Linked DNA regions of Arabidopsis thaliana. The main gene of each other region encodes a partner of the protein of the gene in region 2 in a complex. Each region holds a gene or a part of one and is shown on either strand. Other genes may lie near its edges.

Region 1 (5,794 bases), on a different chromosome or scaffold from region 2:
GACCACAGAGAGACCCGAATGATTTGACCAGTACCCGACTGTGCGTGGAGCTGTACCTTCTAAGTTTAGAACTTCATAAGCCGGATTAACCCGGTTTCTATCTGAATCAAACTGGATTGGACCCGTCACACCAGTATGATTCATCCCAAGAATGATCTTCATAAACTTCTCTCCTTCATTGAAAACACTTAGTGCTGATAGCTGAATAGTGCTACCATTTGTTTTGTGCAGATTTGGATCGTTGGAGAAAGTTATGTTATTGTTTTCTCTGAAGAAAACATCGAGGGCACGAGCAACTAACCAAACAGAATCATAAGCATACATCGCATAAGAGTTAAAGCCATCATTTGGTCTAAGATTCTTCCATCTCGCCATAAACTGTCTTTTGACACTACTCTCGATTGTGTAGTGGCGAAAAGCAACCACTCCTTGCAAGAGATCCATCGTGTCTGAATCCACGTGCTCCATGGAATCCATAGCTGTAGGAAGCCAGTCTGTTGCGATCCAAACATAACCACTTGCCATCATTCCAAGAGATTTAGCCACAGAAAAAACGTTTAAACCAGAGTCAGGATTCACATGGACAACAAAAACCCGAGATTCCATCAGATTAACAGAAACCAACAAGTCTCTGATGGAGCTAGAATCTGCACCAGGAGTAATTGCAGCCTTGTAAGAGATCCTCGAGCGTTTCTTGGCTAATACATCGCCAAGGACAGATATCCCGTTCCTGCCACACTCATCATCAACGAATATCGCAATGACTTGTCTCCATCCGGAATATGATAGAAAATCTGCGATCGCATGCATTTGGAAGTAATCATTCTGCGTGGTGCGGAGGAAATAAGGAAATTGCAGAGAGGAGAGAGTCGGATCCGTTGCTCCAAATGACAAGAGAGGTACATGAAGCTCATTAGCTACATAGGAGATCATGTGAGCAATCCCTGAAGATTGTGGACCAATGGCTGCAACCACTTTGTTTTCCATCAGCTGCAAAGCTACACCATAAGATGAAACATAATCATCACTCATTCTTTGGGGGCATTTTCACAAACTAGTTCTGAGTTAAAAAGTTGGCCACAGTAGTAAGAGAGAAGAAGAAGGAGAAGCAGTATATATACCTCCCATGGTGCCGATAAATCCACTGCAATTTGAGTCTTGAAAGATGATATTAAGCTTGATGCCCTTAAGAACACTTTGGTCAGCATTAACATCATCCATAGCTGCTTTAACCGCGGGTTTAGCCGCTCTTCCGATAAAAGAATCATAAGTAAACAGAGCTCCAACATTCACAGAGCTTGGCCTCTGTCTTAATGGCCGCAAAGAAGAAGAAGAAGAAGAAGACGAGTTTCTAGAGAAATTACTTCTACAAGCACATTCCTTTGGAACAACCCACAAGACAGAAACACATAACAACACAACTCTGATTGCTTTCGCCATGGAAACTTCTCTTATCATCACCAAAAATCCCATCTTTATCACAATTTCCAGCAAAAGCACTAGTTTTTCTTTGTCCTGGTCTCATATAACCATTTGATTTATTTGGAGTAACACCTGCGAAATAAACAATGCCCAACCTGAATCAAAATTGAGATTATAACAAAAGACAAAAAAGATGGTCCAGAAATCTGGTGAAAGAAGGCAAAACCAACCAAGAAATCGGGAGTTAGATTCTGTAGAGAGATTGGTGTATACAGATTTTTGTGTCTGTATATTTATTTATAGTGTATAAAATAATGTATTTATATGAGGCCCTTTGATTCTAGAAACTGGTGCTTTACATGTGCAAGTAAGAACTGAAAATAATGAAGTGTAAGAGGGCCGTCTTAAAGATGGTTCGCAGAGAAAGAAGCAAAAAGTGTAATAAATAATTCAATGAACAAATAACTAAAGATTATATATGTAAGAACATAAAGAAAAACAAAAATTAAAAGATCCAATTGAGAAAAAGAAGAAGCAACCTTGGAATAAATACGAGAAACAAACTTTAATCAGAGATCCATAATCTTCACAAGTAAACGAGTGATTTAGCACTAAGCATAAAGAAGAAAGACAGAGAAAAGAAGTCGAAGAAGCAGAAGAAGAACTGTTTCTGAGCTCAAGCAAAGAATAATTCATAATATTCTCTCTCCTTTTTTTTCCCTATTTTCTTCCTTATCATTACTTATTTTTTTGGTATTTTATGAAATTTTGTAAATTTTGTTTTGGAGTGCTATTTCTGGAGTGGTCAGTGAAGACGTAGGCCAAGGTGTGGGGTAGTATGATCGATGCTTTACTTGTGTCCTCATACTATTCGATAAATCAAATTTTTACGTTGGCTCTTATTGGTAACTATCATTTATTAAGGTAGTTGATGCATTTTTCTTTTTGGTTACAACGGATATAGTTAAATGGTAATTAGGGTAACTACGTATGACATGAGGCAAAATAATAATTGAAAATGTGAATGTGAGGAGTGACGACCTAATTGCTCCAAGGCCGCCTTCGTCAAAGAATAAGTCTCCTCAACGGTTGTCAAATCAATTTCACACAAAAAAAAAAGAAAAGAAAAAGATATTTTCAGACATAAATAGTAAAGTAATTGTACTATTGATTTCATATGATAAAAGGTGCATGAAACACATGGTCGACTATTTTTTGTCTTTAGAGTGTTCATTAAGGAATGTTATTAAAAAAAACTTATAAGAGCTGCATTTGTTATTACATAGTTCCTTATTGAAATTTTCATTTGTTAATTGTTAACACAAAATAAAATATGCCACTGAATCCACAAATATCTTGTCGGTATCGAACTTTTTATTTATTTAGAACAAGAATATCTTGACCAAATGAAATGTGAACCAGGAAAATAAATATACAGTTCATCTTTTTTTTCTTTGAATCTTCTCAATTTGTTGTTTGGATTTTTCTGAGGGTAAGGGCCCATTTCATTTTTAAATTTGTCTGTTAAGAGTAGTTTAAAATCCATGCCTTTAAAAGATTCGACTTGAAAACATACTTAATCGGGAAAGATGCACAATTTTGATCCAAACGCATCTACTAATAATCTATTGACTTCATTAATCTAATCCAAACTCCACGTTCATTGGGTAAATTTTGTGAACAGTTATTATAATAATGGGCCTAGAAACAGTGAGATAATAGGCCATGATCAATATAGATAAATGGGTTACACAAATAATGAATTGTCCCACAGAAGGATGGTTAAAAGTAATGGGCCGAAAATAGTGAGCTAATGGGCCGTGAAAGTAATGATTTGAAAGAGGGGATTACAGAAGCTGACGATGGATAAGTCTTTTCTGGATAAAACGCTCTTCTTCTTCTCTTCATCCTCCTTCTGGAGCAGAGCTTAGAGCTCCATCATCAAATCTTATCAATGGCTTCCTCACTCGTCTCATCTTTTCAACCCAGGTACTTTTCATATACTACAAACCATAGAGCTTCTTCATTCCGCTAGGGTTTCGTTTTCTTTACTTGGCATTTTCTACTCAAAAATCTCTATAAACTGTGTTCATGAGCCTCCCAAGTATAAGGAATCTCTTTGAATGGGTTATTTTTATCTTTTTAAATCGATGGCAATGTTGAATTGGTTATGGACTCTTGAAATTGTGGATTTTTATTTTGGGAATTTGAATGTGTTATGCGGAACTCACTGTGTAAAAAGCAGGATTCTAGAGGGGTTTTTAGCCATGGAAACTGAAAGTTCTACAAGAATGTTTCTCTTCCTTAATCTAACGTTATCTTTGTTCCAATAACAGTTTCTGTGTATTGGTTTAGATATATATCTGGTAGAGTTTTACTTTCTTGACATGTTTTATCTGAAGATAGATAGATAACTTCCCCTTTGTTTTAGGTCAGCATTTTTGGGAGATAGAAATGTGTTCAAGGTCTCAAGCACACCTTTTGCTCAAGTGGGTTACTCCAGTAAGACCATTGAGTGCAAAGAATCAAGGATAGGAAAGCAACCGATCGCTGTACCTTCCAATGTAACCATTGCATTGGAAGGTCAAGACTTGAAAGTGAAGGGTCCATTAGGAGAGCTGGCTTTAACTTACCCACGCGAAGTTGAGCTTACAAAGGAAGAATCCGGTTTCTTAAGGGTCAAAAAAACCGTCGAAACTAGAAGAGCCAACCAAATGCACGGCCTTTTCAGGTTACAAACTTCTCATCTTTTCTTGTCATCCAATGAAGTCCTTAACTTTTTTGAGGTTAAAAGATCGTTTGTTCTCTAATCTTTTTTTTTAACTTCTGTGTGACTTTTAGGACGCTTACCGATAACATGGTTGTGGGAGTATCAAAGGGATTTGAGAAAAAGCTTATACTTGTGGGTGTTGGTTATCGTGCAACAGTAGACGGAAAGGAGCTGGTGCTAAATCTCGGGTTTTCACACCCGGTGAAGATGCAGATACCGGATAGTCTGAAAGTGAAAGTGGAAGAGAACACAAGAATCACTGTGAGTGGATACGACAAGAGCGAAATCGGGCAGTTTGCTGCAACGGTTAGGAAGTGGAGGCCACCAGAGCCATACAAGGGGAAAGGAGTCAAGTATTCCGATGAGATAGTTCGGAGGAAGGAAGGAAAAGCTGGAAAGAAGAAATGATCTTCATTTTTCATTATTATCTACTTACTTATCTCTTCCTTTCAATGTTTATGTGTATTTGCTCAAATTTGTTTAGAAATGAAGATGTTTGTGTTGGGATTCTTGAGTAAGTTTTTAAAGGAACCCATTAATTGTTTTTGATGCTCTGACAAAAATTTCTTTAGTGCTTTGATTGAACAAGAACTTGGGCACAAAGTGCCTCATCGGTGTGATTCTATTGTTATGTTTCCTTATTGAACCAAACCAATCCAAATCGGACAAAAATCATGGTAGATAAACTTTTTAAAACAATTTTTTAATCTATTCTTCTTTTTTTTAATTACAAATTTTCTTATTTTCTTATATCTAAAAAATCGTAACAGTAAGATATTAATATCTGTATTCTTAATTTGGTAGATAACTTTTTAAAAAACGAAAATTTCCTATAAGAATAATAATAGTCGGAAATAAAACAAAAAACAATATCATGGTGATTATTCTTATTTGCTTATATCTTCTTCTTTTTCACAATTTTTTTTTAAAAAAAATATTTACAAAATTTTCTTATTTGCTTATATATATAAAAAATCAGTAAGATATTAATATCGATTTTTTAATTTGGTAGATAACTTTTTTCAAACGATAAATTTCCTAAAAACAATAAAATATTCGGAAATAAACAAAAACCCTGATTGAAGAAAAGTCTTTTTGTTTATCAGTTCACCGGAGGCAAAAATCGTCTCTCGCTTGAGCTGCGAAGATGCAAGCAGTAAAAAGATCCAGGAGACATGTTGAAGAAGAGCCAACAATGGTAGAACCTAAAACCAAGTACGATCGTCAGCTCAGGTATACATACTCTTTTTCCTTAAACTCTACTTCGAACTACTCTTGTCGGGAGGAAAATTGATGAAGTAGTAATCGTTGGGTTGACTGATTAGGATTTGGGGGGAGGTAGGTCAAGCGGCCTTGGAAGAAGCGAGTATCTGTTTACTCAATTGTGGCCCTACTGGTTCCGAGGCTTTGAAGAATCTCGTACTTGGTGGTGTTGGTAGCATCACCGTTGTTGATGGATCTAAGGTTCAATTTGGTGACCTTGGGAACAATTTCATGGGTACTGACTAATTTTGAAACTTTTTGATTGTGTTTCTTCTGGGGGTTTTGGGGGACTTGCTTGCGTTATGATGATTTTTTTTTTTCATGTGAAGTCGATGCGAA
Region 2 (5,290 bases):
TTCTTTTCTAAATTTTTTTATCCTCTGTTAAAACAACAACAAAACTTAGTGCTCTTCCTCTTCTTCTTTTTGGTCTGTTGATCTTTAACCAATAACTCCTCGGAGATCTCTCGATCCTTCTCTCTCTCCCTCCCTCCCTCTCTCTCTCTCTTCAAAACATTTCAACATTTTTTTTTCTCGTCAAGAGAAAATCCATGCGTTCAAGGTTTAAGTCTTCAGATTTCGTTATATTCTCTGTTGTTTTTTTGTTTGTGCCTTACAACTTTTTTCTTGATTTGTTCTTCGTTTTCTTTTTCTGCATGTTAGGTTTACGGTAACGATCGTCAAATCTTGAACCACAAAGGTTGTATCCGGCGTGTGGATACACATTAGCCGGAACCAACCCTTTATAGACCAATGGCGACGACAATGAAGGGTCTTCTTAAGGGCCTTCGTTACATTACTCAGATTTTTGGTGAGTCTCATTCATTTTCCCCATAAACATGAAAAAAATGAAAAATCATTTGTGTTTCTTGTGTCAAAAGTCAAATTACATGGTGGATGTAATTATTCTATTGCAGATGAAGAGAAAGAGCAGGAGATGCAGATAGGATTTCCGACCGATGTAAAGCATGTTGCCCACATTGGCTCCGACGGTCCAACCAACACCACACCAAGCTGGGTAAGATCATACGTACATTTATACGTATTTTCATACATGTCACACGTATCTGTGCTCATTATTGTTTTTTTATGGGACAAAAACTGCAGATGAATGACTTTAAAACTCAAGAACATGAGAAAGGTCAAGTCGTTTCCAGGGGAAATTCCAACAAATACAACCCGCAAGGTTAGTTATTTTTGCAAAGTGTGTTTTTCCTTTTCCCTTAAAGTGTTAAGCTTTGAGGAACAAATCTGGATTGGTTCGAGGAATTGATGTGTATCTCAATAGGGACGAACCAACGTGGAGCCGGGCTAAAAGAGTTACTGCCTTCGAACACAAACGAGAAACCGAAACAGAAAACAAGGCGGAAACCCGGAGGAGCAGCTTCTCCAAATCATAACGGGTCTCCGCCTAGAAAAAGTAGCGGAAATGCTGCATCATCAGATGAACCATCAAAGCATTCAAGACATAACCGAAGCGCACACGGGTCAACAGACTCATCGAATGATCAAGAACCATCAGTTCGCAGAAGGCGTGGTGGTATCCCGGCTCCAGACACAGAAGTTCCTAATCAAATACCTGATGGTTCAGCTCCTCCACGGAAGGCTACATCGCGTCCTAGGAAACTAAAAGGATCATCAGCAGGAGGAGAAGGTTCGATTAAGAAGTCTTCAAAAGGAAAACCCGAGAATTCAGTTGATACAACCTGTAACGATATTATCTGAGAAACATAAACAAAACCATGAAATGTATTATTTGAGCCACCTGCAAGTGAGAGTTTGTTTTCGTTTCTCTTTAAAGTCTTTTCTTGACAGTGTCTGATACAACAACTCAGAGATTCCATTGATACTTACCAAAATCTAGAAAGGAAATGTACGAGTACTGCAAAAGGAGAAGCAAGAAATGTATATAATAAACTTTGCGATCATCATATCTATTTCTTGCGAAGATCAATGCCGGCTTTCTTGGCAACAGCGTCGAGTCCGTTCTTCTCAATGGTCTTCAAAGCCTTAGTTGATAAACGAAGTTTGACAAAACGTTTGCCAGCTTCCCACCAAACTCTCTTGTATTGTAAGTTGACGAATTGCAACTTCTTGGTCTTGTGGTTAGAGAATGAAACTTTGTTTGCTCTGTTTGCTTTCTTCCCAGTAAAAGGGCAGATTCTACCTGACATTTTGGAAAACAAAAACACAGTTTCAAGAAAAAAGGAGCAAATTGCCCAATGCTCAGAATCATATAAATGTGGTCAATTTTGGAGAATTTTTTTAACATAACATCAAATTCAAAGGAAAAGTTTAATACGAGAAATTATGCTACGGGTTTTAAATACACTGCTCATTTTCATATCTAAAAGCAAAGACATAGTTCCAGACAATTCAACACAAGCTTGCTAACTCAGAGATTCGAAATTCGACATGAATAAAACGAAAGCAAGATAAATTTAGTACGCCAATGCATTCGACTAAACCCTAAGAGAAAGGGAAAAGGGGAATTACGTGCGACGATTGGCTGAATCCCGGGGAACGAAGGAAGGGAGATACGGTTGATGACGTCACTGGGAGTATATGAGATTCTTAAGCCGCTGAGCTGGGAGGTGAGGAATCCAAGCTCCTTTGAAGTCACGGTTGACTTGGTCATGGACTTGGCTGATGAGGTCATTCGTAGCCAAGCGCCTTGTGTCGCCATTGTCGTCATTTTTGGTTGCTGTTACTTCTGCTTCGAAGGAGGATTTGGATAAAGAAGGAGATTGGGTTCATTTTATTTATTATTTTGTAGAAAATGAAAGACGCTTTCTCATTCAGAAGGTTACGTTCTCTTTTAACACAACAATTTTTCAGTAAGCAAACCGGTCCATATAGCCACCAACACAATAGTATGGTTTCATCTTTCCCTTCTTGGATTCTCTAATACATAAAAGTAACGAGACACAGGTGGTGATGAATAATCCAACCTGATCAATCCCAACGATTACAAAGAGATTTTTGAAGGGTTTTTGATTGTAGATGCTATGTATCTCTGAACTCGGTTTGAACCGGTTATGTGGTAAAGATGAGAAGAATCACAGAGTCTCACTTGTTGTGGGATTATTTACCCACTTGGGAACCGGATTTGGTAAAGCTCTTTAGAAACATATTCTGCTTTCACAATCCGGTTATCATATAGCCTTCCGTGTAAAGAATGGGCTGCATCACATGTCGCTTCTGGTCTTCTGTACTCAATGAAGATACAACCCGTCTCAAATACATCCTCGGGGTCTTCTTCTTGTTCTTCTTCTATCTTGTCGCCAGCATCCCATCTTGTCTTCACGGTACGCACTGATGCTACTTCTTGTGGATTCTCTGCCTCGGCCTGCGCACTTTCTTCAACAATCTTTTCACAATGCTCTTGTTCAGTGGAGTGTAGATCTTCATTTTCTTGAGTGCTTGTTTCAGCAGCAGTATCCGAGCACGGTTCACATAACTTGTCTTCACCTGTCAAACTGTCTGGCATGACAACCTCTGCAAGATCTACATTGTCTGCAATATCTTCCGCTTTCTCGGATCCTTCATCTTTCTCCTCGATCACTGACACATTCATTTCTTTAGAATCAGTTGATTCTAAGTTCAACAATGGATTTGTTTCAGAAACAGTGATATCTTTGCTCTTGTGTTCCAAGATGTTTATCGACTTAATAACCCCAAACCTGCATCATGACAAGACCCAGAGGCCTATTTTCTTAATTTACTAGCTTTTAAAAGCTCAATGGACTCATGGGAAGATGATCTCAGAGCTTAACCTGGCACATTCTAACCGTACATCCTCCAAAATTTCTTTCACTTCTTGCTCGGAAAACGACGTGAGATCTTCTGGGTCAACCTGTCAAACAAGAAAGAATGGAATGTTAATATAGCCTCACATAGTTTATTTGGGAAAGATTCACAAGAAAAAGGATACACCAATTATGCTTACCACATTTTTTAGCTTTAGAATATTCTTAGGCTTGCCAAGAAGTGGTTTTGCATGGCTAGGTATCCCATAGAATGGTGGATTCTCATTCACCTGCAACACATATTACGTACACACACCACTCTCACAAGTAACTAAAGGAATTTCTGTTCAATGTCACCCATACAAACACAACATGAACTAACGAAAGCAAAGTTGGGTCACTGAATTACCGCTACGGATGATGCATCAGGAAATGCACAAACGGCTGTTATTACACTGCCACCTAACCTCATACCATTTAGACCAGCACAAGCTTTGAGGGTAACAGATCCATCAGTGTACTGAAATATAGAGATTTAAAAAGAGTTAGGGCTGGTTAATATGAATATACTTGGAACTACAGTCACATTCATGGTTACTCTGTAAAAGTTACAAGGTAATAACACCTTCCCATGCTACCCGGAAAATGAAAAATTAAAGATATGAAACAATCACAAGAACTACATCGAGATGGCAGACTAAGATGGGGGTATCTTGGCCACAAATAAAAGTACATTCTAACCTCTAGGAAAGCGCATCGCTGATTGAGATCATTGTTGCTCACGAACCGGTATGCTTTCAAAGGTCCAAAGACGCTGACAATCTCCATAAGCTGGAAAAACGTTAAAGAGGAATCAGACAATCCTAGAAGTTGAAACGATAGAAATGGGGACAATAGAAGATTGAACGTGTCAAATGTTTTCAAAGAATTACAGTTCAGCATACCATTTCAGATGAAATAGCTTTTGAAAATCCGCCAATGAAGATCTGCAACAAGTACACTAGGCTCAATATCAAGCTTGACAGAAAAAGAAATTAGTATAGCAAGCAAATACAGTGAAGCTTTCAACATTATCAACCACAAAGATGCCGTAGCTGCGGAGAGAACTGCACTTCTATTCTCTGCGTGTTTTTCACTTTAAGATTATAATAAGGTGGTCTGACATTTGGCTTTCCAGGTTGAACCACTATGAACAAGCTTTTGATCATAACACCTACTACCAGCCAAACTTACAAAAAAGTTGATCCAGCCACATGTTTTATTCCTTTGTTGTTAACTCTAACAAAATTGATATTCTACTGACAGACAATTAAACGGAAAAGGATATAAAAGCTGTCAGCATGAAAAACATGCAACAAAATTCCAAGATATGCCCCACATCATGAACCATGAATGGAAAGGACCAAGTCAAATTTAGAAATACCGATGTTTTGTCTCTAGAGCAAGAGATTACAAATTACAGTGGTATCGAAACTATGGCACAAACTAAAAATTTGATCTGAACTATAAACCAAGGGTCACTGACATATACAATTACAGTACTTTCAAAAGGGAATACGTTAAGAGATATTTAAAAGACACTCTACACTCATTTTCGATATAAAAAGTTTTACCCACTGTCGTAAGAAGCAAATTTAGGGCAATTATTTGTACCTTGTTTGATGAGTCCTCCACGTTGTCACTTACTGCATTTGCGGCTGGCTCTTTTTTCTCCAATTCACCGTTCTGCATGAAAATAGCAACCGTCTGAAAACCTGCTTCATGGATGGTAACCATAACATAGCTCAGAAATCATAGTAAAATGCATGGTACTGATGTACAAGGCCAAATAGAAGGACAAAGTCCACAGCCTTGATAATCAGTCATTTTTCATAGACTTTCCTACAACTACTCAGCCG
Region 3 (5,794 bases), on a different chromosome or scaffold from region 2:
ACCCGCATAATCAGCTGAAAAGGTCAGCGAGCGTAGCTGATGCATTCCACAGAGAGAGGCAAGTTGAAATATGTGCAGTGGAGATGGAGTTGGAAAGGGGTTCACCAAAGGAACCTCGTTTCGAAGAGCTAGAGAGCATTGTGAGAATGAAGCAAGCAGAGGCAGAAATGTTCCAAGGGCGGGCCGATGATGCACGAAGAGAAGCAGAGGGACTGAAACGAATAGCAATAGCGAAGAAGGAGAAGATAGAAGAAGAGTACAATCGGAGAATGGGGAAGTTGAGTATGGAGGATGCACAGGAGAGAAGGAGGAGGAGGTACGAGGAGTTAGAGGCAATGCAGAGAGGGCAGAGAGAGTTTTATGAAATGAAGATGAGAATGGAGGAAGAGATGAGAGGGCTTCTCACCAAAATGGAAATGACGAAGCAGAGTCTGGCCTTGTAATATTTGTAGTAGTAAATCACATGTAATGTACACAGAAACCTCCTCCTCGTATGTAACCTAAAGATCAATGTAAGGTCTTTTCTTTTAGAGAGTACTAAAGAGTTCTGCGTCCTGACATGTACAGCCCCTTGCCAAATTTTAATAGGCAATAGTAAATAAATAACGACAAGAAGCAAATGGCCATCAAAGTGATACAAAGCAGTGAGGCGTGAAAAGATTACTAACAGACTAGACTTGGTGTTTCTCTTCTCTGTCTACACTGGCATTGCCCGTCTCCCAAAAGGACCCCATTTACAAATGGCGTTGTCGATTAGTTCGCAGTGGGAGGCTTGAAGTCTATCATCTCTCTTATGTTCAACTTGATGGAAGGCCCCATTGACGAGCATATGTGAGCGCTTTTCCAGTACACTCCTTTAGCTCCCTTTGGCTTGTTTGTCTCCACCGATTTCTGCATTTCATCATTTACTTTTCCCTCTTCATTTTTTTTTGTATTTTAAACCACAGAAATACGTAATAAGAATGGAGAATTAGCCTACCACTGCTGCAAGGAAGTTTATGAGAAGGTCTTCCTCTGTAAAATTAACTTTCCCAAATGGAATGTGAACAATCCCAGTTTTGTCTGCTCTGAATTCAACTTTCCCCTTCTTGAACTCTTCAATAGCCTGAGAGATTTATGCATCTTTAAGCCATGACTACCAGAATCAGGAAAAGATGTTGCAGAGTAGGCTTACCTGGGGAATGTTCGCTGTGACTGTACCAGCCTTGGGATTTGGCATGAGCCCCCGTGGTCCAAGAATCTTTCCCAGGCCAGCAACCTAAGCGCCAAGTTCAAGAATGTTAGAAAATAGATCACGAGTTACAAGTATCTCATGCCACCTTATTTGCCAAGCATGACGGTTTCATATGCTGTAACAAGTAGAACATTATATCATCAACACATACCTTGACCATCATATCCGGGGATGCAATCAGCTTGTCAAACTCCATGAAGCCTCCTTTAATCTGTTCGATTAAATCATCACTGCCCACAATATCTGCCCCTGCACTTTTGGCTTCATCAACCTTCTCACCTGGAAGTTCAGCATGGAAATGGTGCAAGCCAAAGATTTAGAAAGAATAAGCCACATGATACACAAGAACTCCATCCAATCAATATATAAATAAAAAGTCAATCGCACCAAACAATGTTGCATCTAGAGAAGTACTGACTGACTGACTGATACCGTAAACATTATCTCTGTCCTAAGTCCTAACAGTGAATTTGGTGACTGAAATGGTAAAGCATAATCTCTGTCCTAAGTCCTAGCAGTGAATTTGGTGGGGCAATATACCTTGTGCAAGAACAGCGACTATAACAGTCTGGCCAGTTCCCTTAGGCAGGCTCACCTATACAAAAAGACAATGCATTGAGATTAAAAAATGTTGTGGAATGAAGCAGCACAAGATAGAGTGTATATCCAGCAAAAGGCAAAGCAGACCGTTGCACGCAGCTGCTGGTCATTGTACTTAGGATCGATGTTGAGACGGAAATGGGCTTCAACAGACTCAACAAACCTTGTGTTGGCAGTTTGTTTAAGCAAAGAGATAGCAGTGTTGACATCATACTCCTTTTTGGTTTCCCTTAGCTTTTGGATTTCCAAAAACCTCTTAGACCTTGTCTGTCAATGGGTAAGCAAACAAAGTGATGATTCACGAGTAAAGGAAGCGAAATTGAAGTAGGTAAAGCACATACTCTATCTCTCTTGAGAACCAAAGCGGCTTTTCCTTTCTTAGGCTTGGGCGGATCAAGGACGGCGGTGGCGGTCTGCTCCAGGTCCTCCTCCGTGTCGAGGTCAGCCTCAGCGGCCACGGCGGAGACAATAAACTTGTGGTTGGAAGCTCTGTCAATAGCAGCACATCTCCGGTCCCTGGAACCCCCAAGGAGAAGAAGCGGGAAGCTCAAGTGGTTGGGTCTGGAGCTGGCAAAAGAGAAAAGAGATGGAGTAGGGGTAAGGTCCTGGGAACGAGTGGATGCGGCGGCGTATGCTAGCATGAGAGAGGAGTGAGTAGCGCAAGCAGCCATTGTTGGAGCTCTCTTTCTTTCTGGGTACAAAGAAGAAGAAGAAGAGTGCGAGTCTCCCTAATCCACTCCACGCCCAAGGGGATAACAACACCCCCTATTCTTTCTAAGCTATTATTCTCTGCGTGGCGGGCACCTTAGCTACCGTGTTCCTAGTGACACGTGTCTTCTTATGGACCATTAGATCTTTTAACAACCCACACGCGTATCCTCGTGACCTCTTCTCCTTCTCCTTCTTCTTCTTCCTTCTCTTTTCTCAAAAATCAGATTTCGAGTTTCTTCTTTCCCGCCCGTAAGAGAAACCCTACTCTGACTCTCCACTCCATTTGAGAGGTAAGTTCCGATTCCTTTTCTCTCAGCTTCAAATTTCCTGTGCTACTATTTCCCCAATTTCATTCATCTTCTGCTGACTCATTTTGGGTGTTTCACTGTAGACTGAGCTCGTTCCGATAAGGAGAGGAGATGTCTAACGTAACCGTCTGTGCGCGATTCAGGCCGCGAAGCTCTAAAGAGATGCGCGATCCCAGCAGAGATGGTGTCTGTGCTCGACCCATCGACGCTGAAACCTTCGTTTTCCAAGTTTGTCTACTCGACGCCGTGTGCTTGATTAATATTGTCTCTCTCTCTCTGTCTCTCAAACTCTATCTAGCGTTTTTACTTGCGTGTAGGATGACAAGGAAGATGAATTTACATTTAGCCTCGATAGAGTTTTTTATGAGGACTCTACCCAAGCTGCGGTTTATGAGTTTCTGGCTCTCCCCATCATGAGAGGTACTAATTGATTCCTTGATCTTCTCTTCTGGATTTTAGATCTAAACATTTGAGCACCAATCTTATGATTTTACAATGTAATCAACATTTTTGGTTTTGGTTTCCTCCTACCTTTGTCTTTTGCATCTTTTACCTTTGTACTACTACTACTACTTTCAGACGCTGTAAATGGTATAAACGGAACAATCATCACTTATGGACAGGTTTGTTCTTCTCCTGATCTCTTTTATCTGGAAATGCTTTCAATGTCTTTTTCTTAATTTGGCAGATTTTGATCTCAATTTGATCGTTTCATGTTATACTATGCAGACAGGGGCTGGGAAGACTTATTCCATGGAGGTCACCTAACTCATCTTGATACCTCTTCCTGTAGCACAAGGACCATTCCTTCTTCTGGCTCATTTTGGTTTTCTTCGATTGATTCAGGGACCAGGCATCCAGGACTGTGATGAGCACAATAAAGGACTTCTTCCAAGAGTGGTCCATGGGATGTTTGAGCAAATCAGCTCTTCCAATGATATTGCAAGATACACTGTTAAATTGTCTATGGTACTGACTTAAATGCACTTGCTATAAGTCTCCTTTCAAGCTCTCCTGTATAGACATCTTACGTGTCTTTTGTCTCCTCTAGGTTGAGATCTACATGGAGAAAGTCAGGTATTGTGTATGTAATTCCCTCTGATTTCTTCTAGGGTATATAGCTTATCGATAAATTCATATATCTCTCAGGGACCTGTTGGACTTATCAAAAGCAAACATACAGATCAAGGAGAACAAAACACAAGGAATACTCTTGTCAGGCGTTACAGAGGCTAGCTTCATTGTCTTATATCTTCTATTTGCTAGTGTTGAGAAAAATCTTTACTGGGTAGGCAAGTTTTAATCATTCGTTGCTTCAGGTGCCTGTATCAGATTCGGTGGAGGCATTACAACATCTATGCGTAAGATAGCAGCTACCCTAAGTTTCTTAATTGCCTTATACGGCCTTCTTCTTTCTTATTTCTGATGCCAATTGCCATTTCAGACCGGTTTAGCTAACCGCGCAGTTGGGGAAACCCGTATCCTCTTAGCTTTTACAGCACTTACTTGTTCAATGTTTCCCCATTTAGTCGATAGTGAGATTATGATTATGCTACTCCGAGTTGACTGAAAGGTTAAAACTGATTGAGAGTCATCTTGAAGAATGTTTCCAGTTTAACAATGAATGACAGAAATGAATATGTCCAGCAGTAGAAGCCACTGCGCCTACTTGTTCACAATCCAGCAGGATTCAGTTAAAGATAAAAGGTAACGATTTTTTACAATTAATCAGAAAAAAGTGATGCTGTAGTGGTGGAGCTTATATACATATCTGGCATGTGAACAGGGTAAAAACAGGAAAACTGATTCTTGTCGACCTGGCTGGCTCAGAGAAAGCAGACAAAACTGGAGCAGAAGGTAGGGTTCTTGAAGAAGCGAAGACGATCAATAAATCGCTCTCAGCCTTGGGGAACGTGATAAACGCTCTCACTAGTGGGCCATCTAGCAAAGGGAATCACATACCATATCGTGACTCCAAGCTTACTCGCATCTTACAGGATGCCCTGGTTAGTATATCTTCTCAGGTTGATTTTATTTTATAATTTTCTAGCTTGTTCTCAATTCTATTGTGGTCTCTCATGCCACAGGGTGGAAATTCTCGAATGGCGCTGCTTTGCTGTTGCTCACCAAGCACTTTAAATGCATCTGAGACGCTCTCAACTCTCAGGTTTGGCATGAGGTATGCATCTCAGAGCACAGTAACGGTTTCTTGCTCCATGTGTTACGTTATTGAACGTGTTTAAGAGAGATGTTTGCTTCCATTTACTGTACAGGGCAAAACACATAAAAGCATCACCACGTGCTAGTGAAGTGAAATCTGCGAAGGCACAGGAGGAACCCTCCTCGGTTACCAAAGATGAAAAATGTGGGAGGATCCTAGAAAAGGTTAAGACTCTACGTCAGCCATTTCCTCATTCTCTCTAATATTCAGAAAACGGGATGTAGAAGATACATTTGCATTATTGTTATTTTATACAGATGAAAGAGAGGATGAGCAACGAAGACATCAAAATGCTAGAAGATGTGTTTATACAGGAAGGGATCATTTTCAGCCTAGATTCGATGGCTGAAGTGGAAACCGTATACGAAGATATTGTATCAAAAACTATACAATCCTTACAGCAGGCTGTTGATGAACTCCAACAGAAAGTCAAAAAGGTAAACTAGTGTATGTATAATTAGAGAGTGAGGGTGGGCATGGTCAATGATGCAAGCTGTCCTGTTATTTCCTCTTTGCAGTTAGAAGCAGAAAACATAGGTATTCAGGAACAAGCATTGCGCAATCACGAACCTGGTTCGGTCGGAAAGATGTCAAGGTTCATCAGTTCTTGGTATGCATCGTTCTTTACGTCCTAAAGATGATAAAATGAATATACTATCTTGGTAATGTAGAAGATGTGGACAAGTAGATGGTAAAGAGATAAGTTTCTCTTTTTAGGTC

What was found.
Region 1: PRPL28 (region 2) and emb2394 share a complex: the UniProt entries of both Arabidopsis thaliana proteins name them as parts of the 50S ribosomal subunit.
Region 3: PRPL28 (region 2) and EMB3126 share a complex: the UniProt entries of both Arabidopsis thaliana proteins name them as parts of the 50S ribosomal subunit.

What each region holds. Positions count from the first base shown.
Region 1 is NC_003070.9:1,501,321-1,507,114, reverse strand, and holds emb2394 (Ribosomal protein L6 family), read left to right. Parts: upstream 1-3,261; 5' UTR 3,262-3,376; coding exon 3,377-3,411; intron 3,412-3,853; coding exon 3,854-4,153; intron 4,154-4,263; coding exon 4,264-4,600; 3' UTR 4,601-4,864; downstream 4,865-5,794. Other genes in the region: GLR3.4 (glutamate receptor 3.4), read right to left, coding at 1-998, 1,122-1,473; AXR1 (NAD(P)-binding Rossmann-fold superfamily protein), read left to right, coding at 5,340-5,425, 5,518-5,690, 5,785-5,794. UniProt on the Arabidopsis thaliana protein: This protein binds directly to 23S ribosomal RNA and is located at the aminoacyl-tRNA binding site of the peptidyltransferase center.
Region 2 is NC_003071.7:14,170,668-14,175,957, reverse strand, and holds PRPL28 (Ribosomal L28 family), read right to left. Parts: upstream 2,380-5,290; 5' UTR 2,339-2,379; coding exon 2,140-2,338; intron 1,815-2,139; exon of another isoform or gene 1,811-1,814; coding exon 1,578-1,810; 3' UTR 1,369-1,577; downstream 1-1,368. Other genes in the region: RIC1 (ROP-interactive CRIB motif-containing protein 1), read left to right, coding at 397-454, 561-661, 751-829, 932-1,368; AT2G33435 (RNA-binding (RRM/RBD/RNP motifs) family protein), read right to left, coding at 2,732-3,326, 3,420-3,499, 3,593-3,682, 3,802-3,912, 4,134-4,223, 4,337-4,378, 5,046-5,117.
Region 3 is NC_003074.8:23,440,980-23,446,773, reverse strand, and holds EMB3126 (Ribosomal protein L1p/L10e family), read right to left. Parts: upstream 2,572-5,794; 5' UTR 2,506-2,571; coding exon 2,176-2,505; intron 2,102-2,175; coding exon 1,922-2,101; intron 1,830-1,921; coding exon 1,775-1,829; exon of another isoform or gene 1,514-1,774; coding exon 1,386-1,513; intron 1,259-1,385; coding exon 1,175-1,258; intron 1,106-1,174; coding exon 980-1,105; intron 892-979; coding exon 754-891; 3' UTR 444-753; downstream 1-443. Other genes in the region: TTA2 (fibronectin type III domain protein (DUF1423)), read left to right, coding at 1-443; AT3G63480 (ATP binding microtubule motor family protein), read left to right, coding at 2,965-3,081, 3,171-3,273, 3,433-3,476, 3,583-3,612, 3,700-3,822, 3,905-3,930, 4,003-4,096, 4,173-4,214 and 7 more. UniProt on the Arabidopsis thaliana protein: This protein binds directly to 23S ribosomal RNA.